Caenorhabditis elegans: one gene and its partners. The protein of the gene in region 3 purifies or fractionates together with the protein of the main gene of each other region. This does not show direct contact. Each region holds a gene or a part of one and is shown on either strand. Other genes may lie near its edges.

Region 1 (7,163 bases), 5.3 Mb from region 3:
AATTTTTCAACAAAATGTTTCAAACTTCAACGTGTTTTTGGAGAAAAAAAATTTGGATTCAGCTCTGATCCTCGGTTTTTCGGTTTTACTCAAAAATCAAAAAAAAATCCAAAAATTGAAAAAGTTTTTTGGTTCCTTTGCTCAAAAAAACTCAAAATATTTATTTTTGTATGAAATAGGGTGAGAACCGTAACAAAAACATCGAATTCCGTTAAAAATACCAACTTTGAATCGTTTTCGAATTTTTTGTTTTTTGGTTTTTCAAGAAAAACTTTCTTTTTAATTTTTCTGTGATACCCTTCATTCTCACCTCTCTATCGTTTCTTTCGTGCAATTCCATCATCCTTTGTTGGCTTTGCTGCTGTTGCTGAACCATGTGTTGAAACATCGGACTACTCGGATCCATCTGATAAAAATTGTTTTTACGTACTCATATTCGCACAAAATCACATAAATAGTCAGTGGAATAAACCCAAAGTTTTCAAGCGGTAAAAAAAAATAAAAAATGTTTGATTTATATTGCGTTTTCAATGTCATGCTAACCGGAAATCAACAAATGAAAAAGAGAATAACCTAGTAACAGGACAATCAATAAATTACAAAGCTAGCGGATACGTACAGGAGAGTTGTGAAGTGAGGAAGATCAAGGGATAACGAGATTCAAGAGGAAGAACACTTGTTTTCGGAATTCGTTTTTTGATTATTTTGTCGATCCTTCAACTTATCATCGTCTGTATTCAAATATTCTTTGCGAATTTCGTCCAAATCTATTTCGAACGGTCGTTGTGTAGCTAATCTCTAAAAAATAATAAAATATTACTTTTAAAACTTTTAAAAACCGTGTAATTTACCTCTTCAACGCATCGCTTGTAAACATCATGTAATCTCTCGCATGGATTTACAGCATACTGATGCCTGTAATTGGGAGTGATGAACTTTTGGAAGAATTCTGTGAAGCATTTGTCGTAGATCTAAAATCGGATTTTATTGGAAATCGAGAAGAAATTAGAAAACTAACCTGCTTGAGATGATCGCATTCGGGAAAAATACTAGACATGTGTCGATCACTCATATTTTTTGCATAGCTAAAATGGTATATTATAAGGTAGAATTAAAGACATTTTCAGATATCAAACGACTCGGAGATAAACCGATAAAACATTAAAAAGAAAATTGAACTTTCAAAAAGATATATTCATTAGATGAATCAACATTTTGAAAAGAGATTCTTCAACAGAAAAGTTATGGAATGTTAGAAGAAAAAAGATGAATTCGATGAAACAGAGTTGATAGTAACGAAATAAATAAAGGAGTCGTTTAAATCGTATGGAAGGAGAATGAATGATAGAAACAGGGAGAGAGATAGATATGCTTTGAACTGTAGTATGAAATGAGACAAAAAATAAAAAATCGAAAGCTTAACGAAATTAACAAAACTCGAAATTCAAAATTCACAACGATCGAGGAGATACTTGGCGAGAGCCCAACCATCAAGTTCGAATGCCTCTGAAAATGAAAGATTCGAAACTTTGAGAATAACCTATTTTACCTCTTCCTTCGACGACTTTTCGTTCACCAGTGGCGGAGTTGGTCATCAGTATCAGCTTCGTTTTAGTGTTGTCGACATCAGTGTGACGAGCAATACCATCAACAGTCCAGGTTGTTTCTGAAATGTAATAAAGAACAATTTACGAGGATTTTAAAAAATAATTTACCATCTTTCACAATGACTGGGGGAGCAAGAGTTCTTTGACGGCCATTTGATGTTTCCGCATTTATAGACTTTCTCTGAAAATACATCATATATATACATATTATTTTTATGCACTCGAACCCACCTTAGACGTTGGGATAACTGAAGATGCGCTGGCAACTGGACTTTCGCTTGGGTCTTTCTTTATAACGACCTCTCTTGGCTTTGGTGGTGTAGATGGTCGCTTGACAGGTTCTTCTGCTTTTTCCTCAACTGCCTTCACTACTTTTACTTTGCTCGCTATTTTCTCAACATCACTGAGTGGCGCCGTAGTTTCTGCCTCGTCATCGGAAGATTCTTCATCAAGCCAATTTCTTCGGGTATCACGAACTTCCATTGCAGCTTTCTTCGCATTGTTTGGAGCTACTGGACCAGAAACCGTTGCTTCGTATGACTTGAGTGCAGCTTTCGTTGGGACTTTTGGAACTTTTGATGATACAGGAGTTTCGTTTTTAGCAGATCTGCAAAAATCGATTTAAAAAAATGGAATTCTCTCCATTAGCATCATTCCCGACAATTACGTGTGGATGTATTTACATTTTTGAAAAAAAAAACAACACCACTATTCAAACTATTGTCGTTTAATAAAGAATTTAGCTCACTTTTTACTTTTCTTCGATGTCTTCGGAGTACCGTAGCTACCGTCGCTGTCATGGTTAGACTCATGGTCACTAACCGTCTTCGATCGCTTTTTTGATTTTTGCGATTTGTTCTTTTTTATTTGCTTTTGAAGAAGTTCAATAAGCTCTGTTTTGTCAGTGACTTTCAATTTTTTGTAGTACTCTGCAACAACTTCGCTGGCACACTCTTGCAGATCTTCTTCGGGTTCCCAGGTATCCTCGTCGGCGCCATAACCCAACCAACGAACCTAAAATGTGGACAATTAAGTTAAGAAATAATTTCGTGACTTACTTGAAGCACTAGCAGATTATCTGTAACTTTATGAGCAAGAATCTTCTCAACTTCAAAAATCTCGTCAGACTTTCCCTCTCTTGCTTCGGGCTCTCGAGACTCTTCACGTGAACCTTCTGTAAAATCTATTCTAGGTTTTAATAAATAAATAAAAACATACCATTACTCATCTTCACAACTTTTAGAGATTATTAGTCGACAGTTAAAATCGATTGAAGATTAGAAAATAAGACGGAATTTTCAAAAGAAAACTCAGCGACAGCAGCAACGACGCTCCGAAGTTCTGCTGCGCGCCCTCTTTAGCGGAGTTGAGAAAAGAGACTCAGTTTCCCCGGATTGCGGAACTTGAATGGAAATAATTTGTTCTTGATAAATAATGAAAATGTGAAAGTTTTGCAGTTTTTTTTTCGAAATATTCAATTATTGTCTATAAAATACTTTTTAACTTGTTTTATTTCATAAGCATGATCACTGGTCAGCTAACGAATCTCACAGATTTGTTTCTACGGTAAAAAAGTCCTAGAATGAGCAATCTCTTCAATGATGAAGCCAAAATAAGAAAACATATTTTTGTTTCTATAGACTACATTTTTTAATTAATCCATCAATTTATTCTATTAAACATACTGAAAGTCATATTGTAATCAATTTTAGCTACACATGCGCGTTCCTGAAGGAGCCCCTGTTCCGTTTTGGTTGTCAGTCAAGAATCGTCTTCCCAAATGGGCCAAAGTTAATCGGCCAACACTCGGATCCATGGCAGTTGTAGCTACTGCACTTGTTACATGTTGTGCTGTAGCTGCTGTAACGCTTTATCCAAAATATCATCATGATTATTATAAAAACGCACAAAAAGAGGAACGGGCCTTACTTCGATCATCTCGAGAACAACAAGCTGGTCCTCAAAATGTCTGGATCGATCCATTCGAACGAAAATAACTTTTTTTCATTTGTTTCTTTCTACGTGTATTTTTCATAGTTTTTCAAAAAACATTATATAGGTCTTGATATGCTTGTGATCTCTTTCTTAAATATTGCGTTAAATACGCCTGACAATATCTATAACTGACTGATAATCTTGTGCGAAACTTACAAATTCAGAGTAATATTACTACTAGTAATGTCCAACGACAAATCCGCTGAAGTTGTTGTTCTTCCTCGTGAAAATGACGAAGAATCCAAAGAGCCTGTTTTGAAAAATCAATTCGATTTGAGCACATTCGATATCGATTCTCCGGTTTGTTTTTTTTTCCGCTTGGGTTTATTGGTGAAAGTAAACATGTTTCAGGAAATCGATCTAACTCACACTCGCGCTGATCACATTCCAGATCTTACTGGATTTCCGAAAATAGAGGTAAGAATACTTCAGAAATACGTGTGTAAATACAATGATTATATTCAGGAACTGAGAATGCGCAATAATCTTCTGGTTTCAATTAGCCCCACAATTTCTTCGTTAGTTACTTTGACATCCCTGGATTTGTACGAAAATCAGTTGACCGAAATTTCGCATCTCGAATCACTCGTAAATTTGGTTTCTCTTGATCTGAGCTATAACAGGTGAAGAATTTAAGAAACTTTTATTTCAATAATAACTTTCAGAATACGCCAAATCAACGGCTTGGATAAATTGACAAAGCTCGAGACTCTTTACCTTGTCAGCAATAAAATTGAAAAAATCGAAAATTTAGAAGCTTTGACGCAGCTCAAACTGCTCGAACTGGGAGATAATCGGTAAATATGGAATGTTTCAACATCAAAATCACAAATTGTGTTCAGAATCAAGAAAATCGAGAACATTGGTCACCTTGTAAATTTGGATGAATTATTTATCGGCAAAAATAAAATTCGTCAGTTGGAGGGAGTGGAGACCTTGCAGAAGCTCAGTGTTCTCAGCTTGCCGGGAAATCGTATTGTGAAAATTGAAAATGTTGAGCAACTGAATAATCTGAAGGAACTTTACCTCAGTGATCAGGGTCTACAAGATATTCATGGCGTCGAACCTCTGGTAAAAAGCAATTCAAAATACACTGAGAAATGGGTCTTTTTTGCAGACTAATTTACTTCTTTTGGATGTTGCAAATAACGAAATCAAAACGTTCAGTGGCGTTGAAAGACTAGAAAGTCTTAATGATTTCTGGGTAACCGAGACATTTTACGTTTCTTCTATATCTTTTATTATTGCAGGCAAACGACAACAAAGTGGAAAGCTTCTCCGAAATTGAGCAACTTTCAAAGTTAAAGGGTCTTCAAACTGTATACTTGGAGAGAAACCCGTTCTATTTCAATGATACAAACCAATATCGCAGAAAAGTTATGATGACCCTCACCCAAGTAACTCAAATTGATGCTACTACGTGCAGAAAGCCAATTGAATAACTCTCGGACGCTTCCAATAAATATCCGTTTGCTTTTCTTATCCATGATAATCTTTCATAAATATGTATCAGTTTGCTTCATTGTTTGATATTGAGAACAAAGTGTAAGGTTATTAAGAGGAATCGCAAATGAATCATAATCGACCTCCATATGGGCGAAGCCAATCGAAATGGCCAGATATTATCAGCTAATGAAAATTTAAAAAAAAAACGACTAATCAAGAGTTTGAAAAAGGTTTCATACTTTGAGAATAATGCAGTAGTTTTTAGACGGTGCGGTGAGATTTTAAGAAGAAATTATTTATTCTTCTCGCTAAATAAATATGAACCAAAACCAACTTTCCATGCCTGAAAACTTAAAGTGTGTCAATTACAGAGCTTTTCTTTTGAGAACAATCAAGAAGTTTCCTCGAAAAGTATTAAACATATATGAAATGAAAGCTACTGTAAGATTTTTTGTTGTGAAAATAAAGATTTTATTGGAAGGCGCACTTAACTTTGTCCCCTAAAAAAGGAATGTTCTTTCTTTGTTTTCATTAAATAATTTCAAACTCAGCAATGTGTATACGGTTTTTTTAAAAGGCGCATGCACATAATCTTTCACATGGTTTTATAAATAAAGAATGAAACCATTTTCGCGCGCGCGCGCATTTTTGGTTTTATTTTTCATGTTAGATTCCTCTAATGTTCATTTCAATCAGTGTGTCATCCCACTTTTTAACAGCTTCATTTTTATTTATTATTCGTCCTTTTAATATTTTTTTGGTAGACTTGTGCATGTTGACCTGCAGGTCCATGGAAAAATTGTCATTTGAATTCCCGCTGTTTTTAGAAGTGTCGTGAGAAAAGTGTACGAGCATGGTGTAAGAGACGCAGACATTCTGCGTGCGTCTTTTAAATATTCTTCGTTTATGTATGCGTTCTCTCTCGTTCTTTCGCTCAACCACTCGCATTTTCTTTGAATAATTACTCCTTCTGCAGAATGAGCGTGAGCACATCAGTTGTGAAGTCAATGCTACAATTGACGAACTATTTTGGCTCCAATTTCACACCGAAGACGGAGACAATCAGCTCATTAGCCGAGCTTTGGGAGAGGCACGGGAGTATGATCGCCAGTATGATGTAAGTAATAGCTCATTCATAAACAATTTCATATTTTATTTTTCAGGTCATGCGACACTCGGGAGTTTGGCACAGCTGACAAATTCTATGAAGTTATCTTCCGCAAAATCGCCACAACGAGTCTCAGCTTCATGACCGATTCATTGGAACCGAAGCTTGCAGCGAGCGGAGATTCACTGGAGATTTGCAAATTCTACGCTCTGTTTCTCGAGTATATGAGAAAGGATCACTCGGGAATGCTCACTCGCGCATTGGAGCAAGCGTCATCAGAGAATCGCGTCGACACAGCTGTGCTTCTTGATATGTTTTTGTTTTTCGACAACGTGTATTCGGAAAGTACCGCTGACGACTGGTGGGCATGTCTTCGGAGAGATGACGAAGATCAGGAAGCATCCAGTGGCTTCAGGACTCCGAAAAGGAACAACTACAGCTTGACATCATTGCAAACACCAACAGCTACTGCCCGGCGACTACGCACAGCTTCCTCAACTGCTCGGCGAAGCCCTATAGCGGAGGCTGTCGATTCCCCTACCATGAAGTTCATGCGAAGCGAGCGGGAGCTGAAGCAGTCTAAAGCGAGAATCTTTGGTTTGGAGCAAATGTTAGGAGACCTTGAAGATGACAAGACCAAGTTATCGGCTGAGAACAGAACTTTGAAGCTTTCGTAAGTAAAATGGTACATTGAATTTAAAATATGGAGAAAATATTTTAGGAATTCCGATCTGAAAAGCGACATCGCTAAACTGAAAGGTATCGCCGAGGAGGCACAATTTCGTGCTGAAGAATTGAGCTGTGATCTCGAAGCCAAAAAGGATGAAGTCCACAACATTCTCCAACAACTCAATGAATCTCGAATGACGTTGAGATCCGAGCAAAGAAGTCTGGAGGAAGCTGACATAAAGAAAGAGAATCTTACTGCTAAGCTGAAAACGGTGACCGAAGACAATGGGAAGCTCATGAAGCAGGCCAGAGAGCTTCGAGATCTCAACGACTATGAA
Region 2 (9,414 bases), on a different chromosome or scaffold from region 3:
TCTTCATCCATCAAATGCCGAGCAATTGAGTATAAAGAAGTTTTGTACAAGCCAAAACGAGTGAGGCAAAGGCAAAAGAACAATGATTTTCACACCCCAACACAAACATAATCTACACTCCAATATTATATATTGGACAAATAGCGCCCACTCCAAGAATGGAAATTGAGCTGGTATTATTTGTTAGTCGCTTTCGGTAGAATACCTCTACCACTTTTTGAATTCGCGCGCACCTTTTAAGTGGTTAATTTCTCTCTAATGCCACCTCCACCATTAATATCGCTTGATGTTGAAGGTGTATATTTTAAGACAAGGATAGCTACTTTGAAATCTATAGAAGGAACTTATTTTACTAAATTATTCGAAACTAATTGGAGGGAGCAGCTTGATAGAGTAAGTCTAAAAAAAAAGTTGTAACTTACAAAGTTTAAAGCATTTGGTAAATTGCCAAACTTCTTAGAATTTTAGAGCATTGCTGCAGGTCCCTAACCTCCTAGAATGTCCAAACACAAATGATTATTGCCATGTTGTTGAATTTTGTGATTACTGGCGCAAAAATACGGTGCCGGGTCTCGACACGAAACTTTGCAGCTACCGTACTCACAGGAACTTCGCAATTTGCTACGATTATTCATGATTTTTAATACAAAATCTTCAAATTTTGTTCCGGAAAACGCCTACTATCAAACAAAAAAAATCGTGGAAAATTGTGAAACACTTTCGGTTACTGTAGCTGTAAAGTTTCGATAGTTTTGAGACCAGGTACGGTATCCAAGCCTCAAAAATCGCAAAAATTCAAGAATGGGTAATAAGCATATACTGTCAATAAAAATATCATAATGCTAAATTTTGCGCTAACAGTACGGTACTTTGTCTCGGAGCGGCAATTTTTTTTAATTGAAAAGGGTGTGCGTCTTCAAAAAGTACTGTAATTTTATTACATTACTCTTTAAAGGCGCACATTCGTTTCGTATTGTCGAGACCTTTACGCTTGTCGAGACCAGGTACCGTATTTTTAGAATTAAAAACCGCATAAACTGCTCTGAACACATCAGTTATAAAATATATTAACACTCCATTAAATAGAATAAAACCTCATTTGGTCAACTAACCTTCCCCAAGATTCCCAATGCCTTGTGTTAAATACTCTGCGTATATGTCTACGTCATCAAACATCTGCAGGCCCATTGAATCATTCAAATAATTTTCCACCACCACCCGTTGCCATACTTTTCACCCGACACCACAACCACTAACACCATTCCCTTGACCTCCTCCTGGTGTGACGTAGCGCACTGTTCAAAAGCAATGACCAACTGGTTGTTGGGTGCCTGTGACGTCAATTTGTGACGTAGGCAAGAATGGGGGTTACGGTAGATTGGGAAAATTTGAATGCTTATTTCAGGATGGTAGACTCTTCATCGACCGTGATTCTTCAGTATTTCCGGTTATTCTCAACTTTCTAAGAGATCATGAGAAATGTTCATTGCCAAAAGACGAATATCAGCTTATGCGAATCTTACGTGAAGCGGTGTAAGTTCGGAACAAATCAGAATATTGCAAAAAGTATAAATCATTATAGATTTTTCAAAATTGGACCACTTCGAAACATGATAGAACATAAGCTGCGAACATTTTGTACTTGCCCACCTGAACTTCCATCAACTCCAATACCGAACCAAATCTTGACCCAAAAAGAAAATGTTCCGATTGTCCCACGTAATCTTCTTCTTTCGAAACCACCTCCACCTCCACCACCACCACTTCCGTCATTGATGCAGCCGAAGGATACTGTACAAATTCCGATGAGAAAACCTCCAACTGGCAGAAATTCCAAAAAAATTAAAACGTCTGCAGATTCGATTAGTCTTCCAAGGAACTTTACGTGAGATTTGGATATCTTTTATCTATTAATTACTTACAAAAGTTTATTTTCAGACATATTGCACATGTTGGTTGGAATGGTGCATCGGTACTTTTTGATAAGAAAATGACTGATGATCCGACTGTGAGGAAAATCTGTGATGCTGCTGCAGAGGCAGTTGATCTTAGTGTGAGTAACTTTCTTGAAAATTAGTAGAATATCTATAGAATTATAAAATTAAAATTCATTTATCTATTTTCAGGCGGTATACAATGTTGTCAACAAAAATGCGGATGAGGAGAGCCATAGCGTGGAAGTGCTCATAACTGGAGGATTAATGCAGTCAAGAGATGGAACATCTCGTCACTAACCATTTGAATATATCTGTGTCAAAATAAATTATTTATGTCATGTCTTGCATGCCAACAGATACGCGTTTTTCGAATTTTCGAAAATTCGCAATCACAGCTGGTGGTTTTTTATTGTCTGAATTGACCGACAGCAAATTTTAGTGATCTCTGACAAAACATCAGAAAATAAAAAACTACGCTTTTTTGTCCGCAGTTTGAAAATTTAAGGAAAAACTGAATATAAATATTATTTCATCGAAACATGTTTTTTTCTTTAAAAAATTACCGTACTCTTTCAAAGGCGCACGCATAAAGTTTTTAAATACAATATTTCGTGTCGAGACCATTACAGTAACCCGCGGCAAAATTGTGTTTTACAGCTTTTATTTTCGGGGTTTCTTCTGATCTTATGCATTTTTATGTGGTTTTATTTTGAATTTTACGTTTTTTTTTAAATTTCAGAGCAATGAAATGCGATTATCGGACTTGTCCTAAAGGGCGGAGCCATGGTTAGAGGCGGTGCTTGTGGTGCCGAAGGGTATAAATAGATTTTTTCCTCACACAGAAAACTAAACACATTTTTTGTTTAAATGAAATTCTTCAGCTGTGAATTAATATTTCATTTCAAACTGCCGTAGTTAGAAATGCTCAGGACCGTGGATTTTCGGTTTGAATTTCTAGGCCAATTTTGTGTGTTTCGACATTAGCTCACTTCTATCAGAAAACCATATTGAAGCCAGAATTCGTAGGAAAATATAATGTATTCTGTTTCACTGTAATACTTGTTTTTTCTATGAGACCAAGATTTCAATAATTCGTTTTCCTTTTGAATTTGAATTCCGATGGAGCGCGTTTGTTTGGTCTGCGTCTCGTTTTCGCGCGTTCCTCTATTACCTAGGCGCGAAAACTAGTAAATTTGAGATGAACTGGTCATTTGAAAATTCTCTCCGCTCCTCCATTTTCACTCTTTTCTTCTCAAATTGTTAATAATTCATCTTTTCCAGTTATGCAACGTTACAACAGCACTTATGTTGTCAAGCGGGATGGGCGAAAGGAAGATGTACACTTCGACAAGATCACTTCCAGAATTCAGAAGCTGAGCTATGGATTGAACATGGATTTTGTCGATCCGGTTTGTTATTAAACACAAGTTCAATGATGAATTAAATTTTCCAGGTCGCTGTTGCAATCAAAGTTATCAGTGGCTTGTACAAAGGAGTGACAACTGTTGAGTTGGATAATCTTGCTGCAGAGACTGCTGCTTCCATGACCACACAACATCCGGAATATGCTCTTCTTGCCGCTCGAATCGCCGTTTCGAACTTGCACAAGAAAACGAATAAGGTGTTCTCGGAAGTTATGAAAACCCTTCACGAGTTCCATCATCCTCATACCGGAAAACACGCACCAATGATCAGTGATGAGACTTGGGCTATCATTGAGAAGAATGCTGATGTTAGTTTTCCTAGGAATTGCATTTATTCAAAAAAATTTCATTTCAGAAGCTGAATTCCGCCATCGTCTACGATCGTGACTATTCCTACACCTATTTCGGATTCAAAACACTGGAGCGTTCCTACCTTCTCAAGATAAACAAGGAGATTGTCGAGCGCCCACAGCAGATGTTGATGCGTGTTTCTATTGGAATCCATGGAGATGATATTACTTCCGCAATCGAGACCTATAATCTGATGTCGGAGCGTTACATGACCCATGCGTCCCCAACTCTCTTCAATTCGGGAACATGCCGTCCTCAGATGTCTTCATGCTTCCTTCTGACAATGAGTGAAGACTCCATTCTCGGAATCTACGATACATTGAAGCAGTGTGCTCTTATTTCAAAAAGTGCCGGAGGAATCGGACTCAATGTTCACAAAATTCGCGCCACTGGATCTGTGATCGCTGGAACTAATGGAACATCTAACGGACTCATACCAATGCTTCGTGTCTACAATAATACTGCTCGTTATGTTGATCAAGGAGGAAACAAACGCCCAGGAGCATTTGCTATTTACCTGGAGCCATGGCACGCCGATATCTTCGAGTTTGTATCTCTCCGCAAGAACACTGGACCGGAAGAGGAACGTGCCAGAGACCTGTTCCTTGCTCTTTGGATTCCAGATCTCTTTATGAAGCGAGTCGAGAAGGATCAAGAATGGTCGTTGATGTGCCCATGTGAATGTCCAGGACTTGATGATTGCTGGGGAGAGGAGTTCGAAGCTCTTTACGCCAAGTAAGTATCTCCTGGTTCTTATTTTTTTAATTACCGAAGTGCGATATCCAGACAGAACTTTAAGAGTACTGCTTGGACTGAGTTTACTAACTTCGAATATGAAATAGTTGATCGATAACCGGAATATACTCAAAAAAAAAGGTGTGCTCCGGACAAAAATCAACTAACAAAAACTTTTAAACAGTGAAGTTAAATTTGCAAAGTTCATATCAAAATTTCCAGATACGAAGCCGAGGGACGAGTCCGCAAAACGGTGAAGGCCCGCAAGCTCTGGGAGCACATCGTTTCCAACCAAATCGAGACCGGGCTTCCATACATCACCTACAAAGATGCCGCCAATCGCAAGTCTAACCAGCAAAATCTTGGAACTATCAAGTGTTCCAACTTGTGCACTGAAATCATAGAGTACTCTGCTCCAGATGAGATTGCAGTTTGCAACCTTGCTTCCATTGCTCTCAATCGCTACGTGACCCCCGAGAAAAAGTTCGACTTCGTCAAACTGGCTGAGGTGACTAAAGTTATAACCAGAAATTTGAATAAGATTATTGACGTCAACTACTATCCAGTCGAGGAGGCTCGCAACTCTAATATGCGCCATCGCCCAATCGGGCTTGGTGTCCAAGGACTCGCTGATTGCTTCATGTTGATGCGTTACCCATTCACTTCGGCAGAAGCCAGAGATCTCAACAAACGAATCTTCGAAACCATCTACTACGCTGCATTGGAAGCCAGTTGTGAATTGGCTGAGTTGAATGGACCATACTCGACATACGAAGGATCTCCAGTATCGAAAGGACAGCTTCAATTTGATATGTGGGGAGTCACTCCAACCGATCAATGCGATTGGGCCACTCTTCGCAAGAAAATTGCAAAGTAAGATTAAAATACTCTTTCGAATCTGATTAAACTACTTATTTACAGGCATGGTATCCGCAACAGTCTTCTGATGGCTCCAATGCCAACTGCTTCCACTGCTCAAATTCTCGGAAACAATGAATCCATCGAGCCATACACTTCGAACATCTACTCTCGCCGTGTTCTTTCTGGAGATTTCCAGATTGTGAATCCTCACATGCTCAAGGATTTGGTGGAAAGAGGATTGTGGACTGATGAGATGAAGAATCGTCTGATTGCCAACAATGGATCCATTCAAAACATTGATGGAATTCCATCCGACATCAAGGAACTTTATCGCACAGTGTGGGAGATCTCTCAAAAAGACATTATTGAGATGGCTGCTGATCGTGGAGCATACATTGATCAATCCCAATCTCTTAACATTCACATGGCCAAGCCAAGCTACGCCGGTATCACATCAATGCATTTCTACGGATGGAAGAAGGGACTCAAGACTGGAATGTACTATTTGCGTACCAAGCCAGCTGTCAATGCAGTTCAATTCACTGTGGATAAGAATGCGCTGAAAACTAACCAACAAGCTGAGACGCCAGCCACCGTGGCCGAGTCGCAAGATGAAGGATGCCTCATGTGCTCCGGATAATCATTTTTTCTTTCACCCGTTGATCATGTTTGTACATTCCCAAATTGCTCACTTTTTCACTTTAATCTGTTATACTGATAACCCTATTTTGCTCGCGGTTACTCATTTTTTCTAAAGTTTTAATGGTCAATAAACTGACAATCTGAGTCCTCGAGCGATTTGAATTGCAGGAGCTGAAAAATGTGGAACCGTGTTAGGTTTACATCCGAAACTTCGGAAGTTTTCCTCTTCTCATGCTCTAGTAGTTTTTTTCCTAAATACTCTCTCAGCAACATCATGGTGCAACAAAAGTGGGTCTCGACTGAAGGTGTACGTGGGTAATGTTTAGTGAACCGTCAATCGAGCAGATTTCAAATGCGCCCTTTCGATTCTCTTTTCGTGTGCTCAATGAGCCGGAATAGAAACATTGAACTATGCGTAGAGCTCCTCTCGTCAGATGGGCCCCCGGTTCTTAGCGAGATTAGCTTGATTCTTGGTTTTTTTGCTCATTGCTCTTTTTTTCAAATAAACTACTACTCGTTTCCTCCCTGTCTCGTCATTGGAAGCTGTTCATCGTCTCTTTTGTCTTTTTTTGGGTTCTTTTTCCGTTTTTGCTCATTTCGACTTCAAAACGATTGATGACTTTGTTTCGGTTTGGCTTTTTTGGCTCAGAAGAGCACTCAGAGAAGCTATGAGACACACGAAATGATGAAGATGATGATGCTTCTGTCGGAACTTTTGTGATTCTTTTTTTTTTGGAACTTTTGAGACGGATTTCTTCCTTTTCTCGTTTTTTTTGTTCGAAAAAAGAAATGTTTGGTTTCCTAGACTGCATGCGATGAAATATGATTTGTGTGACAAAAAAGCAGAAGGTTAAGATGATTGGATTAAGGATTGAAAAGCAACACTATAGAATCAAAATATATGAAGTTCTTTGGTTTTTCGTTTTTTGAGAGAAAAAACTATTATTTACATTCATGAAATGTTTCTTGATCCTCGAGGAGCAGTTATTATAGGTTTTTTGTTGGATTTCATTTTAAATAAAACTAGATTTGGAAACTTATTTTCAGAAAACTGAAAACAAATGTAAGAGTCAGTTCTGAATACTTTCCTAATATTGTAATTTCGTAAAAAGTTAAACGTCTCAATAAAGGCGCAAACTGCTTTTCTCAGTGGGTCTCGCCACGATCGCCGTCGAAATGGTCGTTACAAGGACCAAATTTAACAGAATTGTCTATAATTGTTTATTTGATTTGGAAATAGAAATTTGTAAAACTTCAAATCCTAAACTGTGAAAACATTTGCAATAAACTATTTCTTACCTAGTTATACGTTTTAGCAAAAGCTTGACAAATAGTTTGCCGCCATAGTACTGTAGTTCTCCTATTTTTGTAGGTTTTAAAGGATTTTAAACGCGCATTACTTTTTTGTTTTAAAATAAGATGATCGTAAAAATAAAAATATTCTTCTTCGAGCAGGAACTAAAATTATGTTCTGTAAGGTATGTCTGAAACCACAATGTTTTGCGCTGTGACGTCACACACTTTCTTAAAGTACAGTTACAGCTCCCTCTTTTTCAACACTTTGAGTATATTATTATCGTTATTGTTTCAGGTCTAAGATCTTAGGTCTACGTTAGGTCTATTTTAAGTATATAGTCTATTCATATGGTTATAAAAAATTAGTAAGTAACGTAAAGAAGTATCATTATTCAACTATTTTTTCAGTTAATCACACCACCTTCCCATTCTATATTGCCATTCTTGCAAAAATTCTTGTGACGTTCAACTTTCAAGGAAAAAATATTGAACCACGTTAGAATACCTGATAGCTCAACTCGTCATCCTTTAAAATATATGACTTGCAAAGTTTGCTAAGCTTCCGGGAAAGCCAAAAAGTCCTTATTTGAACTTCAAACTTTTTATCTTTGCTCCGTCATTTCCAAAGTTTGATCATTTTGTCATTTGAAAACGATTTCATTTTGCAATCCTCCTTCCTTTTAGCTTCCGTCCAGAGACTACTTTATGGCCTTTGTTAAATTTGTAAGAAAACACAACAAAAAAAACGAGAAGTATTCTGTTTCGAATTTGCGTGTCTCTTTCCTAAGTGACGTGTAAACGGCAACTTTCAGGTCAAATTTTTGAGATCAGTTTCAATTTTTGTGTTGTTTATTTCAACATTTCAACACGTGACTGAAGGCCTTCTTTAACGACAAGGGAGATTTCTGTATCGAAGTTTATAAAGATTTTGGAAAAAGAACATACACTACCAGAATAACAATGGAAAGCTTGAAGCTCGAATCTTGAAACGGCTGAGACGGTAAAAATCTTGTTTTTTGTTTACAGTGTTTCACAAGATTTTTGCCAAAATTAAGCAGTTTTGGGAAAAAGTACCTTTTCAATATCGATTTACCATTCCATCTCAATCCTAGATTTAAAAAATGCATATCAAAAATGTAATGGGAAAACATGCCATAACCGAATACATTGTAATTTTTTTGAGAGCTGATAACACATCTTGTAACTTTTTACTCGGATTTGTGAAAAATTCGCTTTCTAAAATTAGCTTGACACATTTCAAGCTTCATGCTTGAAAATCTGATCTTGCAATACTTCTAAAAAAATTTATTCATCTTTCAGATCATTCTTCAAACTTCTGTAGCACACACTAGATCACCATCTCTGTCATTATTTCCTTTTTTGCAACTTGACTCGTTTAGCAAAAACATCATTGGTTTGTTGCTAAGGCGCGCGTCTCCACGTATCTTACATTTTCTGAGATCACTTTGTCGTCGTCGTCGTGAAGCCTCTTTTGTGTGAAATGTGAACACTGCCAAACTTTAAACTCTCTATTTTTCTAGTCCTAAAGTATGAAAAATCTCACACATTTTCTCACACATCAATTGATAGGAACCTACTTGAAGATTGAGATTGGTCAATATTTGAACAATTGAAATATAGGTTAGGAAATCTTCTATCAGGAAAACAGTTATGAGTTCATAGATTAAGAATGAATTTGATTAGTGGGGTCTTTTGCCAGAAAATAGTCAGTGTACAGAACAACTGTAAACGTTTCTAAAAATGTTATGATTTTTTTTTTCAATTTTGCAAAAAACCTATAATCGTTTAACATCGTTCGTAAAGTATTGAGGCATTCTTCCGTAAAGGTTTTTTTTGGAAATTCAAGAAAAACATTAAAAAATTTATAAACATTATAAACATTTTTAACAGTTAGATTGAGACTGTTTTCTGCCATTTAGGACCAAAAACCCACAGACTCTACTTCAAATATGAAGCAAATCTCCATAGAGCATTTGATCGTTTATACTTTGTTTATTCTATGCCACCGTGTTAGGATAATCATATAATTTCGGACTTGTAATGTTCTCTTCTTTTTCTTCGGTTTCCTTTCTTCATGTTTTATTATTATTTTCTACTGCCAGTATCCTCTTCCATTTCCTTCACGTAGGCGGAGCCATCTCGTGTTT
Region 3 (7,887 bases):
TCCGGCAAATTGCAGATTTGCCGGAAATTTTCAATTCTGGCAATTTGCCGATTTGCCGGAAATTTTCATTTTTGGTTTTCGGCGAATTCGGCATTTTGTCGGAAATTTTCAATTCCGGCAATTTGCGAGTGTCCGGAAATTTTCATTTGGTAAATTGCCGATATGCCAGAAATTATAAATTTTGGCTTTCAATTCCGGAAATTTGCCGGAAGTTTTAAATTCCAGCAATTTGCCGATTTGCCGGAAATTTTCAATTCCGGCAATTTGCCGGTTTGCCGGAAAAAATCGTTCCATGGACCGAACTGAAGCAAAAAATGTACAAAAATGTGGCGTTACGAGATGAAAAGGCCGTTGGGGGGTATTTTCTGAAGTGTTCTCCATCGCTTTTATCGTCGAATAATGGGTGGGCGGGGTGCCGAACTGTTTCTCTTCTTCTTATTTTTCCTTCAGCATCTCGCGGGGCATCGCCTTCCCCGCATTTTATTTGCTGACAAATCTGATGACTTATAGTACTAGTACCCCCGAGAAATATTGATAGAAAATAGAAACCCACGAGCAACGAGAGGCATTGTTTAACAATTTTTGTACGATTCGAATTGCAAAAAAAGTTCAATGTTAGTTGCTAATTTGAAAAAAAAAACCTTGTGTCAGGTTGTCCCATAGCTCTATTGCACACAAATGGCGGGAAAACTATGTTTGAATTTTTGTGACGTCACAGCGCAATTTGAACAATTGTTTTTCAATTTAAGCGTCGATTTTTCTGAAATTTTAAAAAATCATTCTTCAAATAAATGTTTGTATTAGTTTATAAAATTGATATTTCAAATAATTTTCCACTCAACTTGCCAGTCGAAAATTATATGAAATATCAATTTTATAAACTAATAAAAACAGTTATTTGAAGAATGACTTTTTTAAAATTTCAGAAAAATCGACGCTTAAATTGAAAAACAATTATTCAAATTGCGCTGTGTCGTCATGAAAATTCAAACATATTTTTCCCGCCATTTTTGTGTACAGTGGAGCTATGGGACCACCTGACACCACGTGGAATTCTTTCAACTACAACTGAAAAAAAGACAACGAAATGACTGAGAAAATGCCAAGTATGACTACGATAAATGGCACTGATAACAACTTTACGTGTAAATATAGGACGTAAAGTGTCTATTTAGAATGAAATCATCACTTATTTACTAGAATTTCTATTGGAAGAGACTCGAATATTAAATGTGGAGCACCGAAATCTGAGACTTTGCCTTTTTAGACCCAAAATGGTCCAAAACTACGGAATTTCATAATGAAACTTCTTGAAAACTTTTCAGAAAAAAGTCATGACGGTTCAAAAAATGGGTTAAAATCAGTTAAAATCGGAAATTTGGCCGACTTGTCAATGTCGCAGCGGCTGGAAACAATTTTTTTTTGAAATCACCGTCAAATTTTGAGTATTCAAATTGATTACTTTGCGTTTTAAACTTGATTAAGGTATTTAAAATTCGATGGACGGCGAGTTTTTGTTCAAAAAAAATTAAAAATCTCGCCGTCCATCGACTTTTAAATACCTTAATCAAGTTTAAAACGCAAGATAATCAACTGCTATACTCAAAATTTGACGGTGATTTCAAAAAAAATTGTTTCCAGCCGCTTGAAAAGTCAAATTTCCGATTTTAACTGATTTCGAGCCATTTTTTGAGCCGTCATAACTTTTTTCTGAAAAGTTTTCAACAAGTTTCATTATGAAATTCGGTGTTTTCAGACAATTTTGAATCCAATAAAGCAATAAAAAAAATTCTCTCTCCACCACCTTTAAGAGCTGATAATGTCGAACAAATACATTTGACTTGCTAATTTAATGAATTAAATAACTAAACACCTATATACAAAAGGGTTCGTGGGAAACTTCTATACAATTGCGTTGGCAAATGAGAAAAAAAACCGAAGTGAAACAATTTTGGGGGTTGACCGGCGAAGAAACGGGCGCCACTGTAACCAAAAAAACCCTCACAAACAGCAAGAAGGTGGAGAAGATACAATGGCGAAATGAGAAGTATGAGAGAAATTGGGAAAATGGAGAGAAGGTCGTAGAAACGTGGAGGGGGCACTTTGTTTACGCTATTCCTTGCCACCCGCCGCCGCAGTTTCAAATCTATGTCAGAACTCTGTGTTGATGATTGATTAGCCGGAAAGGATGAGAGAGATGTATCGGATGACACTTTTTCGCGCGGCGGCGGCGGCGTGGCTCGCAATATAGTCAGTTAGCTGTGCTGTGTGGCAGTCGCGTTGAAATGTGGAATAAATTGGGTGCAACTGCTGGCTCGGAGGCCATCTTTCGCTTGTTGGCTAGTGATAGAGCTTTGTTACTGAAAAGAGGCACTCCCTGTTCACGTGGTGTCTCATTACAGCATGATCTACAAAAAATGCGGCGGGAACATTTTTCCAGAAAATTGTGACGTCAGCACACTCTTAACCATGCGAAATCGTGTTTGCGTCTGAACTCCCGCATTTTTTTGAAGATCAAACCGAAATAAGGCATTCTGACCAAGGGTGTCAATTCCCGTTTCCCGTTTTTCCCGTTGTCCCGTTTTTGGGGTGTTTTCACGGGAACGGGAATTCCCCTTGTCCCGTTTTTAAAATTTTCACGGGAACGGGAATTCCCCTTGTCCCGTTTTTAAAACTTTCACGGGAACGGGACATTTTCCCTCATTTTTTGGCTTTTTAAATATCTGTTTAACATTGAAAAAATCGATAAAAATGTTTATAATGCAGTTTTTTTTATAATTTGCCTCGAATACACTAAAATTTACGCCAACTATGCACTCTTTTTTTTAAACCGCCCAGTTTGTCCCGTTTTTTGAGTGTTTTCAAAAAAACGGGAATTCCCGTTGTCCCGTTTTTGAAATTTTCACGGGAACGGGAATTCCCGTTTTCCCGTTTTTGTAATTTTTACGGGACATTGACACCCTTGATTCTGACCCAGGGAAATTTCTTTAAAACATGCCTATGGGGTCACAATGACCGAATATTATGATTAAAAAATTCAAAAAATGTTTCTAGATTTTATATGATTTTTTGAAAATTGGAAAAATCTCGGTTTTTGCCAAATTTGTTCGATGGAGCGCGCTTGCACGTTTTTAAATTTATCTATTTTATTTTGTCTTATTTTCCACCGATTTTCCATGTTTTCAGTAGATTTTTGCTTGAATTTCAAAGAAAAAGTCAAAATAAATGCAAATTTTCGATTAAAAACCAAGAAATGCACGATTGGAACCTGAATTAATCAATTTCACAGATTTATGCTTGTAAATTAGCTTTTTAATCAAAAATTTGCATTTATCTTGACTTTTTCATCAAATTTCAAATAAAAATACACTGAAAACATGGAGAATCAGTGAAAAATAAGAAAAATAACAATAAATAAAATAATGCAAGCGCGCTCCATCGAACAAATCCAATTGGCGGTAATTCAAATAGGAATTAGGGGAAAAACTGAGATTTTTCCAATTTTCAAAAAATCATATAAAATCTAGAAAATTTTTTTTGAATTTTTTATCATGATATTCGGTTATTGTGACCCAATCGGCATGTTTTAAAGCAAAAATTTAGTGGGTTTTCGATATTTTATTTCGAAAAATCCCGCTAAATTTGAATTTTTCGGGCAAGAAAAGTGAAATTTTCGCATGAAAAATAGCGGAAAATCGACTCAAAATTGAAACTATAGGAAAAAATTGCCGAAAATGTGCAAAAAGCACAAAACTATGTAAAATGTACGATTTTTCCAGTCTAAAACTGCAAAAAATGAGCGAAAAAATCGCGAGAAATCTGATTTTAAAGTAATTTTGAGCAATTTTCTGTCCTTAACATCTCGAAATTATCACATTTTGCCGATTTTTGTTCGGGAAAGACTGAAAATGATCCGTTTTCAACAGGGAAAATGAAAAAAGTCCCGTGAAGGTCGTCTTCGCTTTCGTTTCAACCTTGCAACTGTTTAACAATATCGACAAAAGGAAAGATTTGTCTTTTTAGGTTTTTACTTGGCATCTTTCACAAAAATAATGGGAGGAAATTGATTAGAAAAAGCGCCGTGGGACAAAAATCGGGCAATTATCGAAAAAAAACACGACGAAAACCTAACAAATGAGTAAAAAATCGATGAAAAACAGTTTTTTTTCAGTCAAGGAAGTTGAAAAAAACTTGAAAAGCGGATGAAAATTGGAAAAATTTGGGAAAAATTGCGAAAAAATCGCGAAAATCGTTGTTTTGAAAAAAAAAAAAGAGTGTGTGGTAAACAAGAGACGCAGAAAAAAATAGACAACGATACTCCAAAATAACGCCTACGCGTGTTGTTTATCGTAAATCTACAACCGTTTATTTCTATATTTTCTATTAAAAAATAAGAAAATCTGTGTAAACTGTGCGAATTCCGGATGTTAAAAGTTCTCAGTCTACGATCTGCGCTCCAGAGAGCTGCCTCGACAAGACAACTAGTCTATGAAGGATATAGAAACCCTCCCGAGGTGAGAGAAAACGCGAATTTGCTTTTAATTTTATTTGCATTTAATTTCAGGCAATACAATTGAAAACTGTCACAATTGCGGACAAGCCGTCTGCGGATCAGGTCCTGGTTCAATGGATAGCAGCTCCAATCAACCCGGCAGACTTGAATCAGATTCAAGGTAGGTTTTTATAGCTCCAAAATCTGAAAAAATAATTATTTGAAGTATATTTCAGGTGTGTACCCTGTGAAGCCAGCTTTACCGGCGGTTGGTGGAAATGAAGGATTTGGGAAAGTGATTAGTGTTGGATCCAATGTGAGCTCGATTAAAGTTGGAGACCATGTAATTCCCGACAGATCTGGCCTAGGAACATGGAGAGAGCTCGGGCTCCACCAGGAAAATGATCTTTTTCCGATTGATAATACTCTTTCCATGGAGTATGCTGCAACATTCCAGGTATGATCTATAAAGCTAGGGAGCAGTGGAATAATCAGAATTTGTTTTTTTTACAGGTGAATCCTCCCACAGCTTATCGTATGCTTAAAGACTTTATCGACCTGAAAAAAGGAGACACAGTGGCTCAAAACGGAGCCAATTCGGCTGTCGGGAAGCACGTTATTCAAATTTGCCGGATCCTTGGCATCAAAACTGTGAATGTTGTGAGAAGTCGCGATAATCTGGAAGAATTGGTGAAAGAGCTGAAAGATTTGGGCGCCGACGAAGTTATCACACAGGAAGAGTTGTATAGTCGAAAGAAGAAATTCCCAGGAGTCAAGTTAGCATTAAACTGCGTTGGAGGCAGAAGCTCCCTGTTTTTGGCGAGTCTCCTGGACCACGGAGGATGTATGGTGACCTACGGTGGAATGAGCAAGCAGCCTGTCGATTGTCCAACCGGGCCACTGATCTTCAAGGATATCTCGCTTCGCGGATTCTGGATGTCAAGATGGTACGATATTCAGAAATCCCCGGAAAAGCGGCATGAGATGTACCAGGAGCTTGCCGGTTGGATGAAGAGTGGAGAGATCAAGAAGCAGGAGATTGTGAAGAATCGATTGGAAGATCATGCAAAAGCTCTCGATACTGCGCTGAGCAAATTCGACAAGAAGCAATTCTTCGTTTTGGAATAACTCGCTCCGTAATCGGGTATCATTGCTACAATTTAATGTGATGTGAAGATTGATCATGCTTTTTTTCCAAATAAAAACAGTTTTTTGCCCGAATAGGTCCTCAATGGCGTGTTTCTGAAAATTGTGATGGCCGAGATGCAATTGCGCCATTTTTCAGATTATACTCAATTACAAAATTTATGAAATAAGAACGTGAACTGACAATAAACTGAACTGATGGATGAAAGTAAGGGATTTAATTTAAATTCGGGATGTGAAAATCTTTCAGAAAAAAGGGGAATAGTAGGAGAGGTAATTTGAAAGAAAAGTCAAAGTCATTATCAGCAGCACGGGGGGGTTCCAAGAATTAGATAGACGCTTTGCTGACCACCAATTTGATCATCTGAAAAAATATCGAACATTTTGAAATGAAAAATGAGGACTCAAATTCTTTTCAAGTTTCACTAGGGTTGTTAAAGGGGACGAAGGGGAACGTCCTCCTCAATTTTGAGAGCTTTTTCCGCCGTCCCTTTTGTAGTAAACTGGAGCCCCAACATGAAATTGGATTAATCTGATGAATGTTGCTTCGATTTGATAGTGGTGCTTCAGCTTTCTACAAAAGGGACGCCGGAAAAAGCTCAAAAATCGAGGGGGACGTCCCCCTTCGTCCCCCATGACAGCCCTAAGCTTCACTCTATTTTTCTGAAACATTTTGTAAAAAAAACAAGTCTTACAGGCATATAAGATGGCACCTGAGCTCTGATAGAGTCGATGATGCGATCCTTGATCTTTTTCTCGTCCTCGATAAGATCTGTTGTCATCGAGAAGGTATCGAGGAAGACTCCGTGATTATCGTAGTGAGCAGTATACGATTTGACTTTTGCCAGTTCCATCGCACGTGGCATGATCTCCTGTAAAAAAAATAAACTAGAATATCCTTACAGAATTTTATACTCACATCCTTGAACCATCCGGGGATCCCGGTCGCAATCCACCATGTCATTTTGCGGTGAATTTTTCGAGACGGATCTCCAATTGCGGATAGATCACAATCCGGGCCGGGGATCGAGCCGCAGCTGATTTGACGGACAATAGCTAGATTGGTGGGCGAGCGGAAAGCAGATCGATCACCGGAAGTGGTGAAATTTTTCGATGGCAGTCATTCTGAAAAAAAAACACATTAACATTGTCTTCGCGAATAAAAAAATTGAGAAATGAATACTGATTTTATTAGGATGTGCAGAATATTATAATTTCCCGCAAATCGAAAAGGTCGCGCCGCAAAAAAATTAAAAAAAAAAACAAAAAATTTGGAGCGTTGTAAATGGTAGATCAAACATAAAAATTTTGAAAGCGACCTGTTGAAAATTATGAGGATTTTAGTTCAAAAATTATCGTTTTATAAATTAAAAATACCTTAATAACGGTAAAAGTGACGGGCTTATTGGTGTGCCTCAAATCCTTCGCCAAAAATTGCTGTCCAGATTGAGAGAGCTCTACACCGGCCAGCCGCAGATTCAGAAGGCCCGTATCGACATTCTTTCGCTTTGGAAGGAACGGAATCTTCATAATTGGCTCATGTTCCAAGCGGAGTTCACCACTGGGAAGCACCTCTCGTACTCGTCCCTTTAATTCCAGCTCTCGTGACGCAGACGGAGAAGTCATCACCCCCTGCTCAGGCAAACGAAACCGAGTCTAGCCAGGAAAAAACCCAATCTGGCACCACGAACAACCCGTTCTGGATCAACCAGGCAAGATCGGGGTTTTCGCTAGCTATATTGGGTTTATTTCTGGCCAGATTAGTAGGTTTTGGCTAGATTGGGTGTGCGTCTGGCTAGATTTGGTGTGCGTCTGGCTAGATTAGGTGTGCGTCTGGCTAGATTAGGTGTGCGTCTGGCTAGATTAGGTGTGCGGCTGGCTAGATTAGGTGTGCGTCTGGCTAGATTAGGGGTGCGTCTGGCTAGATTGGGTGTGCGTCTCGCTAGATTAGGTGTGTATTTGGCCAGATTGGGAGGGCGTCTGGTCAGATTGGGTATGCGGCGAGCCAGATGGGTGGCAACGCTTTCAAAATATAATAAATATATGCCAAAATTTGATGGTTCGGTTCTCCGGGCCTTCAAAATGATACAAAAAACAAAGAAAACAATTTTTATTTTACACAAGGACTGGATTTATGCATTTGTGGCCCTAAAGAGGGTTGTTGGGTTCGGTAAAGTTTTGAGATTAAGCTTGCTCAACTACCAAAAAAGGTATTTAAGCGCGCTCTCCTCGGATACGTCTGGCCAATT
Region 4 (7,548 bases), on a different chromosome or scaffold from region 3:
TGGTAAGTTAAAATTAATTTTTTTTCCAAGTTCAACTGAATACAACTGTAACTTCTGTTCAGGAAAAAAATTCAAGCAAATTTTTGAATAAGGAATGTATTTAAATCAGGCGGCGTTCGTCAAATCGGCAAATTACCAATTTGCCGGAAATTTTCAATTCCGCCAATTTGCGGATTTGCCGGAAATTTTCGAATCGATCAATTTGCCAATTTGCCGATTTGCCGGAAGTTTTCAATTCCGGCAATTCGTCGTTTTGCCGATTTGCCGGAAATGTTTAATTCCGGCAATTTGTCGTTTTGCCGTTTTGCCGGAGATGTTCAATTCCGGTAATTTGCCAATTTGCCGGAAATTTCAATTCCGGCAATTTGCTGATTTGCCGGAAATTTCAATTCCGGCAATTTGCGGATTTTCCGAAAAAATCATTTACCTCCCACCCCGGATTTAAATTATATGAATCTACAAAAAATAAAAAAAATAAAAAAACTATTTAATTTTTTTGAGTTGAAAAAGTTGTTCTCGACTTTTTTCCAAAAAAAAAAAACTGCCAGATGGAAAAAAAATGTTTTTTAAACCATCGAATCTTTCCATTTCTCAATTTTAATAACTTTTCATCTGAAAATGTTTAAAACATTTTTTTCAGGAAAACCCATGGCCACGTGGCACTATGCAACTAGAGATCAAGTCGATTTGACAGTGAAAGAAGCCAAAAAAGCACAAAAACAATGGGCAAAATCTTCATGGATGGAACGAAGCGAAATTCTGAAAAAGACTGGAGATCTTCTGAAAACTCATTGCAACGATATTGCCTACTGGGAGTGTATTAGTAATGGAAAACCAATTGCAGAAGCAAAAGCTGACGTGCTTTCTTGTGTTGACACTTTCTATTTTTATTCCGGAATTGGTAAGTGCATAATAATGTTTGGTTCTAGAAAATGACGACAACTGCAGTCATGATAAGAGATTTTCAAAAAACAATAAGCGTTCTCTAATTTTTGATTTTTTGAGTTGTTTTGTAGGTGTTCTATAGCATTTTGATATCAAAAAATTATAGAAAATTCATTTTCGAATACCCTGATTAGATATGCGCTTTCTAAATGGCTGCCTACAGTAAGATATATGTGACGTAACCCAATTCAAATTCCCGCTCATCTCCCGTTTTGGCATAATTATCAGCAACAAATGACATACAAATCCTGATCTCCAAAATCTAGCATCTGACCTTCTCGGTCAACACGTTCCACTCGATGCTTCTCGTTACGCCTATACACGCCGTCTTCCTGTTGGAGTGGTCGCCGCCATCGGTGCCTGGAACTATCCAATTCAAACATGCTCCTGGAAAACTGCACCAGCACTGGCCTGTGGAAATGCTGTCATATATAAGCCCAGCCCGCTGTCACCCGTAACTGCACTGATATTGGCTGAAATTTTGAAAAGTGCTGGACTACCGGATGGAGTGTTCAATGTTATTCAAGGTGACGCTGAAACTGCACAAGATCTCATTCATCATGATGGGGTATCAAAAGTATCATTCACTGGAAGCATCCCAACTGGAAAGAAAATCATGAAAGCCTGCGCCGATCGAAATATCAAGCCAGTAACCCTGGAACTTGGTGGAAAATCCGCATTGATCGTGTTCGACGACGCCGATATCGACTCGGCGGTGTCTTGTGCAATGATGGCTAACTTCTACAGTCAGGGACAAGTTTGTTCTAATGCTTCAAAAGTTTTGGTTCATAAAAGTGTGCTGAAGGAGTTTACGAAGAAGTTGGTAGATCACACGCAGAAGATGAAAATTGGTGACCCTTTGAAAGAGGATACTCAAGTTGGATCCCATATTTCTGCAGAGCATCGTAACAAAGTCGAAGGGTATATAAGTAGTAAGTTTAGAAATTTAAGTAGATTCTCAATAGTACACCATTATTTAGCTGCCATTGCCGAAGGAGCCACCAAGCTTTGTGGTGGAGATCGTGTGGCCGTTCATGGCCTCGAGAATGGATTCTACTTGTCTCCATGTATTTTAACAGGCATTACACCCAAAATGACAGTATATCGGGAGGAAATCTTTGGATCCGTACTTCTAATCATTCCATTTGATACCGAAGATGAAGCTATTAAAATTGCAAATGACACCGATATGGGATTAGCTGCGGGTCTAGTCACGAAGTAAGAGTACCCTATTAAAGCATGTTCAATGAAAATCTCATTATTCCAGAGACCTCTCAAGATCCTATCGAGTATCTGAGCAGTTGAATGCTGGAAACGTCTATGTCAATACCTATAATGATGTTTGTAAGTTGCTCCGAATCCCACTAGATCTAGAAAAGAACCTGTAATTTCAGCGCCACTGGTTCCATTCGGAGGAGTCGGAGAATCAGGATTCGGACGTGAAAACGGAACAGCAGTACTCGAACATTATACTCACCTGAAGTCGGTCTTTGTCAATACCGGAACGTGCCCCAACCCATTCTAATGAGTCTTCAAATGTACAAATCTTTATACTTTACTAGTTAGACGAACGGATCGAGAATAAATTATTGCTTTTAGAAGTGTATTTCAACTTCAGAATTGAAACCAATACTCCACAAAGTTATGATATAGTGTTTTTGGTATTTCGAACATTGGCAAGTCAGGTTGCTCAATTATTAATACTATTACAAGTTCCAAAACGTAGCACATCCTGACAGCGCTGTATAATCAAGTACTGAAACAAAACACGTTTATTAGAATTTTAGAAAGTAATTATAGTACATTCAACAAAAATACACATATTAATTGGAAAACCCGTAGATCATTAGGTTTAATTAACTCCTGCTCTGGCGACAGTGAATGGGTTCTCTACTGGAATATGTCCAGCGTTGGCGATGACAACATCCTCAATTGGCCGATCTCCAGCTCCTTTTGGTGTAGCCTCGATCTCACGAACTACGTCCATTCCTTCCAGGATCTTACCGAACACCACATGCTTTCCATCGAGCCATGAGGTTTTGGCGGTAGTGATGAAAAATTGAGATCCATTGGTATCTTCTCCAGCGTTGGCCATTGACAACCATCCTGGTCCGTAGTGTTGAAGCTTGAAGTTCTCATCTTCAAAGCGCTCGCCGTAGATCGATCGTCCACCGGTTCCGTCGCCACGTGTGAAGTCTCCACCTTGAATCATGAAGTTTTCGATGACACGGTGGAACTTGCTACCAACGTATCCTTCTCCCTGAAAATATTAAAGTCTACAGAATTTAATTAACAAACTGAAATACCTCAGCTCTCTGTGCCAACTCAACGAAATTCTTCACTGTCTTCGGCACGACCTCTCCGAAAAGTCCGATGACGATTTTCCCAACAGGTCTTCCTCCGATCTCCATGTCAAAGAAGACCTTGTCAGTGACACGTGGTCCACGTGCCTCGGCTGACAAAGCCAGAATGGCGAGAACGAAGAAAAGAAGAGCACGGCTCATCTGGAAACTTGTTGAGATTTTGGATGCTCATTTTCATAGTAATATAATTAGAGTAGTATATGGTAAAAGTCGGATTTGACATAAAATATGATTTTTAAAAAAACCTCAAAGTAAGAATTTAGTTTCAAAATTAATCGTTTGAAGTTAAACAAAATTCTAATAATTTAGCCTATCAAAATTTAATCATAAGATTTCTAGTTCCTGATCTTTTTTCCCCTACTTTGTACTTTAAGTACTTAAGTACTAAGTACTAAGTTATAATAAATAAATATTTTATTTATAAATATAATGCATAGTATTTAATTTAACTAACAATGTAAGCAATTTTCTAGAAATCCAACAGCATGTATTTAATTGTAAGTATATTAATTGCAAGTTTTATTTTTCAAAAAATATAGAAGAATGCATTCAAAAATCCTGTTCGAAAAGAAAAAAACGACAAAAGAAAAATCGATACAGCTGCAGGAAGCAGCCGTGTCCGGCGGAATAGTGGACATTTGTGCGTGCGCGCATTCTTTTTTATAGTGTTGCAGAGAGTGTGGAGAATTAGAAAGTTACCTTGACCTCTATCTGAAAACAATGGGAGATAATGATAATGATGTAGGTTAACAGTTGTATCTATAGATAAAAATAAAATAATAACAATCTATGATGTAGGTAACTTTGGACATCTTATTTTCTATAAAAGTTATAGGTTACAGTGCAAAACTTTAAGAATAAAAATTTTTAAATTGGTAAAAATCGTCATCCGCAAATGTGGAATAATCGGGTTTTGAAATCGACGTATCGTATCCAAGAATTCCCAAAAAAGGTGCCACGTCATCAAGTTTTCGTAGAGTTTCTTCACTAAAACAATCAAACCACGAGGTTAAGGCTTTAGTGTTTATCGAGTTTTTAACTTGTGATGCAGAGAATTCTTGACTGCAAAATTAAGAGATAGTTGAAGTTCAAAAGTTTTAATGAAGAAAGCACATACTCGTTTAAATCAACTTCGTCTCCAATTAAATCTTGATGTCTTAGCATTTGCTGGGAAAATGGCAGATCCAGGAAGTTGGTGATACGTAGGATTTCTTCCGCAGGTTTTTGAATCAGTCGTTCATAATATACTTTTATGCATTGCCCTGGCGCATTATTGCATTGAAAAGTCATTTTTCGAAGCTCCTGATTCCACTGAACAAACATTGACTAAATGTTTCAAATTATCTTTAGAAATTCAAGAGTTTCATTAGGGAGACCTTACAATTTCATCAGACGTATTATACCCAGCAACTGGTACTTTTCTTTCTATCATTGAATGAACTACGGCACGAGCATCTCGAATCATCAGAATAAACTTTGCATTCGGGTACAGTCGGCGAATAGTCGGAAGCCACAATGCGGTGTATGGATCCTTGTTGCACAGACGAGGTGCTAGTTCACTGTGCTTCGCGACTATCTGTATGAATTGCAATTAAAGATGAACACGGTGACAAGAGCACTACCTCAGTGATGAATGCTGAAACAGCGTCGTCAAATACTTCCTGAGTAATTCCTGAATTATTGACCCAATCATTCCGCCAGCCTGCTTGCCATGTAAGGAAACTTGGAAGCAGCATGGTTTCACCGCCACTGAAAGTTTGAAGTGAGCAGAAGTAATACGTTTTGTTTTTTCTGAATAAGAAGTATCATATTGTCAAGAAAAAGTCTTGACTTCAGAAAGCCTTGTTTCGACGGAGTTTAAAAGTTTTAAAGGAGAAGAAATTCAAGATCTTTTGGCCAAGCGCAGCATACATCGCATTTTTGAAATTTTCTAAATTTACCATCGAACATCCGGATGTGCATCTAGAATAGCTCTCATCAAAGTAGTCCCACTTCTCGGCACACCACCCACAAAAATCAGCTGCTCCAAATTTGAGAGGAGTCGTCTCGAGTGTCGAGCATCTTGCTCATTGAAGATTAAGCTCTCTTTTGAAAGACTTAGCTGTTCTAACTTTTCCTGAAGTTTCTTACTGAAAAATTACCATTTTCAAGTAGAACCCACGATACACTTTTAATTACCACTTTATTGAAGAGAATATCAAAAGACAGATTGTAAAGCAAAAAATGAAAATATAGATAAAAAAGCTGAAACCTTGGGATAAAATTCTTCGATTCAACATGCTCAGGGAAGTCAAATAGAAACTACGGCTGGGAACAGTTAATATATTCAAAAATTAATTCAATAGTTGCACAAATATTTGAAAGCATATTATTAAGCGCGGTATACATCAGCGATTGAATATAAAATCAGGAGAAAGAGGATAAATGGCGCCTGGAAATTTGTTGGGCAGTAGAGAATTGCTTGAAGATCTCTGTGAGACACTTTGTCGTTTTGCAAAATCCTTCTTCTTATCAATTATTGTGGCCGTCATCATTTTTGGTCGACTTACTGCCACTTCGCTGGAAATTACCTGAAATTTCGTGGGGCAAATTGTGATCCAGTGATGGATGATAAACTGTGCTGAGAAGATGAATTATTCAAATAATCAAATTTATTACAAAAAGAGGTCATCAGTTTGCTGAAAAAATACAAAACCTCTGAAGATCAGTGAGGTGTGGTAAAATTCAAGTGAAAGCGTGGTCCGATCATAACGAGCTGATGTCCAGCGTAGAATGATTCCGGCTCGAGTCCGTCGACACGTAGCGGATTTTTTCGTCGAAAATCTGAAGAAAAGCGTGATATTGTGTGTGTAGCCTAGTTTATTACGAACTTGAACATTTCCACCACCAGGCCGATGATTCATATTGTCCTTTGACCCAACCTTACTCTCGGCTTTCCAGTTCAATTTTTGACTTAATATCTGAAAATCAATAGCTGCAATATGAAAAGCCACCACGTCAAATTCAAGTTCACTCGTGTTTCAAATTCTTAATCTTCAAAATACCTGAACATTTCCACCAGCAGGCTTATGCGCTGCGTTGTCCATTGACCCAACTTTTGATTTAGCTTGCCAAGTCAACTTCTCCGAAACTATCTTCACGTCAGACTTTGCTGGCTGATAATTGGTTTTCGAGCCAACCTTTGGTGAAGCTGCCGAAAAATCTAGCTTCCTGTTTTCGATTTGAACGTTTCCGCCTCCGGCAACGTGTGTTGCGTTTTTCAAGGAGCCAACTTTGGATTGGGCGTTGTAGAGCTGAAATAACTGAATGTGTAAAAAATATCTAGGTTTTGATAATGCAACTTCTGGCGAACATCCTTATTTGGTGTTCTCCAAAAATGAGATCTACAAGACCGATTTGTTCAGCTCTTTTTTGAGCTAAACAGCGACCTTCATAAACGTCATCTGATTGGCTCAAATCGCAGAAAAATTTTTTAATGTTCACTCACTCTTTTCTCCGAGAAAATTTCCACATTTCCGCCGCCCGCCTTATGATTGGTGACACTTCCCACTTTGCTCTTCACATTTACAAATTTGGCGTTAACCTTTGGCGTCATTCTTCCAACATTATCGATGCTTCGCGTAGACGTGGATTTTTGAACATCCGACCGTTCTCGAGACATTTTTCTGAAGATTTGTTACTTTTTTACTAATTGGCTATAATAGGGATTATTCAAGCCAAGCAAAATTTTCAATTTATGGTCAATCAGTAATGATAACATTCTATATATAAGTAACAACTATATGTAATAACTCAAATTCTACGTGGAAATGTGAGAAAGTTTGAAAAATTGAGATCGCAGGTGCCATAAAAGAAATAGGAGCAGTTGGGTGCACAACAATAGAGGAAGCAATTATGTTTTGCAATACCCAGACAACAAATATTCCGCACCAAGTTTAGGTGATGTATTTTCACTATGGGATAGTTTCAGGAAATGAGTATAGATACGTCCATTAGCAAACTTAGATCTAGTTATTTACTACCACGAATGAAAAAAATAGGCAAAGATACGTCTAATACATATAAGCGCAGAGAAATGAAAAAAAAAAACGTATTTTGGATACAATAAGACGGACAGAACCAAACCCATCTTTAATCTTCAAATAACTCGAGAAATTGTTATGAAAAAATAAACACTCACGATATGGGTCTCGGAGATGGCGCTGTTGAAGCAGTTTGTCTTGGTGTACTAATAGCGCGT

The links.
Region 1: the proteins of mecr-1 (region 3) and mdmh-35 fractionate together in Caenorhabditis elegans (co-fractionation; one large-scale study listed by BioGRID). This does not show direct contact.
Region 2: the proteins of mecr-1 (region 3) and rnr-1 fractionate together in Caenorhabditis elegans (co-fractionation; one large-scale study listed by BioGRID). This does not show direct contact.
Region 4: the proteins of mecr-1 (region 3) and cyn-6 fractionate together in Caenorhabditis elegans (co-fractionation; one large-scale study listed by BioGRID). This does not show direct contact.

The regions. Positions count from the first base shown.
Region 1 is NC_003280.10:7,854,635-7,861,797, forward strand, and holds mdmh-35 (MitochonDrial interMembrane space protein Homolog), read right to left. Parts: upstream 1,086-7,163; 5' UTR 1,073-1,085; coding exon 1,019-1,072; intron 972-1,018; coding exon 852-971; intron 799-851; coding exon 661-798; 3' UTR 501-660; downstream 1-500. Other genes in the region: mdt-10 (Mediator of RNA polymerase II transcription subunit 10), read right to left, coding at 311-406; Chromo domain-containing protein cec-3, read right to left, coding at 1,445-1,506, 1,550-1,666, 1,716-1,788, 1,839-2,214, 2,356-2,621, 2,666-2,781, 2,826-2,835; T09A5.15 (Small integral membrane protein 26), read left to right, coding at 3,326-3,604; sds-22 (Protein phosphatase 1 regulatory subunit SDS22 homolog), read left to right, coding at 3,786-3,902, 3,954-4,019, 4,068-4,225, 4,268-4,399, 4,445-4,673, 4,720-4,806, 4,853-5,044; Spindle apparatus protein lin-5, read left to right, coding at 6,026-6,165, 6,212-6,829, 6,878-7,163.
Region 2 is NC_003281.10:9,222,055-9,231,468, reverse strand, and holds rnr-1 (Ribonucleoside-diphosphate reductase large subunit), read left to right. Parts: upstream 1-3,218; 5' UTR 3,219-3,220; coding exon 3,221-3,346; intron 3,347-3,390; coding exon 3,391-3,669; intron 3,670-3,716; coding exon 3,717-4,447; intron 4,448-4,494; exon of another isoform or gene 4,495-4,619; intron 4,620-4,669; coding exon 4,670-5,320; intron 5,321-5,368; coding exon 5,369-5,948; 3' UTR 5,949-6,094; downstream 6,095-9,414. Other genes in the region: T23G5.3 (uncharacterized protein), read left to right, coding at 259-393, 1,406-1,533, 1,583-1,885, 1,939-2,053, 2,127-2,234. UniProt on the Caenorhabditis elegans protein: Provides the precursors necessary for DNA synthesis. Catalyzes the biosynthesis of deoxyribonucleotides from the corresponding ribonucleotides.
Region 3 is NC_003280.10:13,183,811-13,191,697, reverse strand, and holds mecr-1 (Enoyl-[acyl-carrier-protein] reductase, mitochondrial), read left to right. Parts: upstream 1-4,383; 5' UTR 4,384-4,424; coding exon 4,425-4,514; intron 4,515-4,564; coding exon 4,565-4,673; intron 4,674-4,728; coding exon 4,729-4,949; intron 4,950-5,005; coding exon 5,006-5,620; 3' UTR 5,621-5,711; downstream 5,712-7,887. Other genes in the region: W09H1.4 (DUF1902 domain-containing protein), read right to left, coding at 5,967-6,002, 6,334-6,510, 6,558-6,602; W09H1.3 (Transthyretin-like family protein), read right to left, coding at 6,695-6,763, 7,016-7,264; his-73 (Histone H2A/H2B/H3 domain-containing protein), read right to left, coding at 7,853-7,887.
Region 4 is NC_003281.10:769,315-776,862, reverse strand, and holds cyn-6 (Peptidyl-prolyl cis-trans isomerase 6), read right to left. Parts: upstream 3,450-7,548; coding exon 3,252-3,449; intron 3,206-3,251; coding exon 2,798-3,205; 3' UTR 2,704-2,797; downstream 1-2,703. Other genes in the region: alh-11 (Aldehyde dehydrogenase domain-containing protein), read left to right, coding at 1-2, 641-901, 1,212-1,877, 1,926-2,163, 2,213-2,289, 2,340-2,470; tpst-2 (Putative protein-tyrosine sulfotransferase), read right to left, coding at 4,160-4,370, 4,426-4,634, 4,690-4,884, 4,931-5,057, 5,249-5,286; ptl-1 (Microtubule-associated protein), read right to left, coding at 5,696-5,878, 6,353-6,601, 6,796-6,973, 7,489-7,548. UniProt on the Caenorhabditis elegans protein: PPIases accelerate the folding of proteins. It catalyzes the cis-trans isomerization of proline imidic peptide bonds in oligopeptides.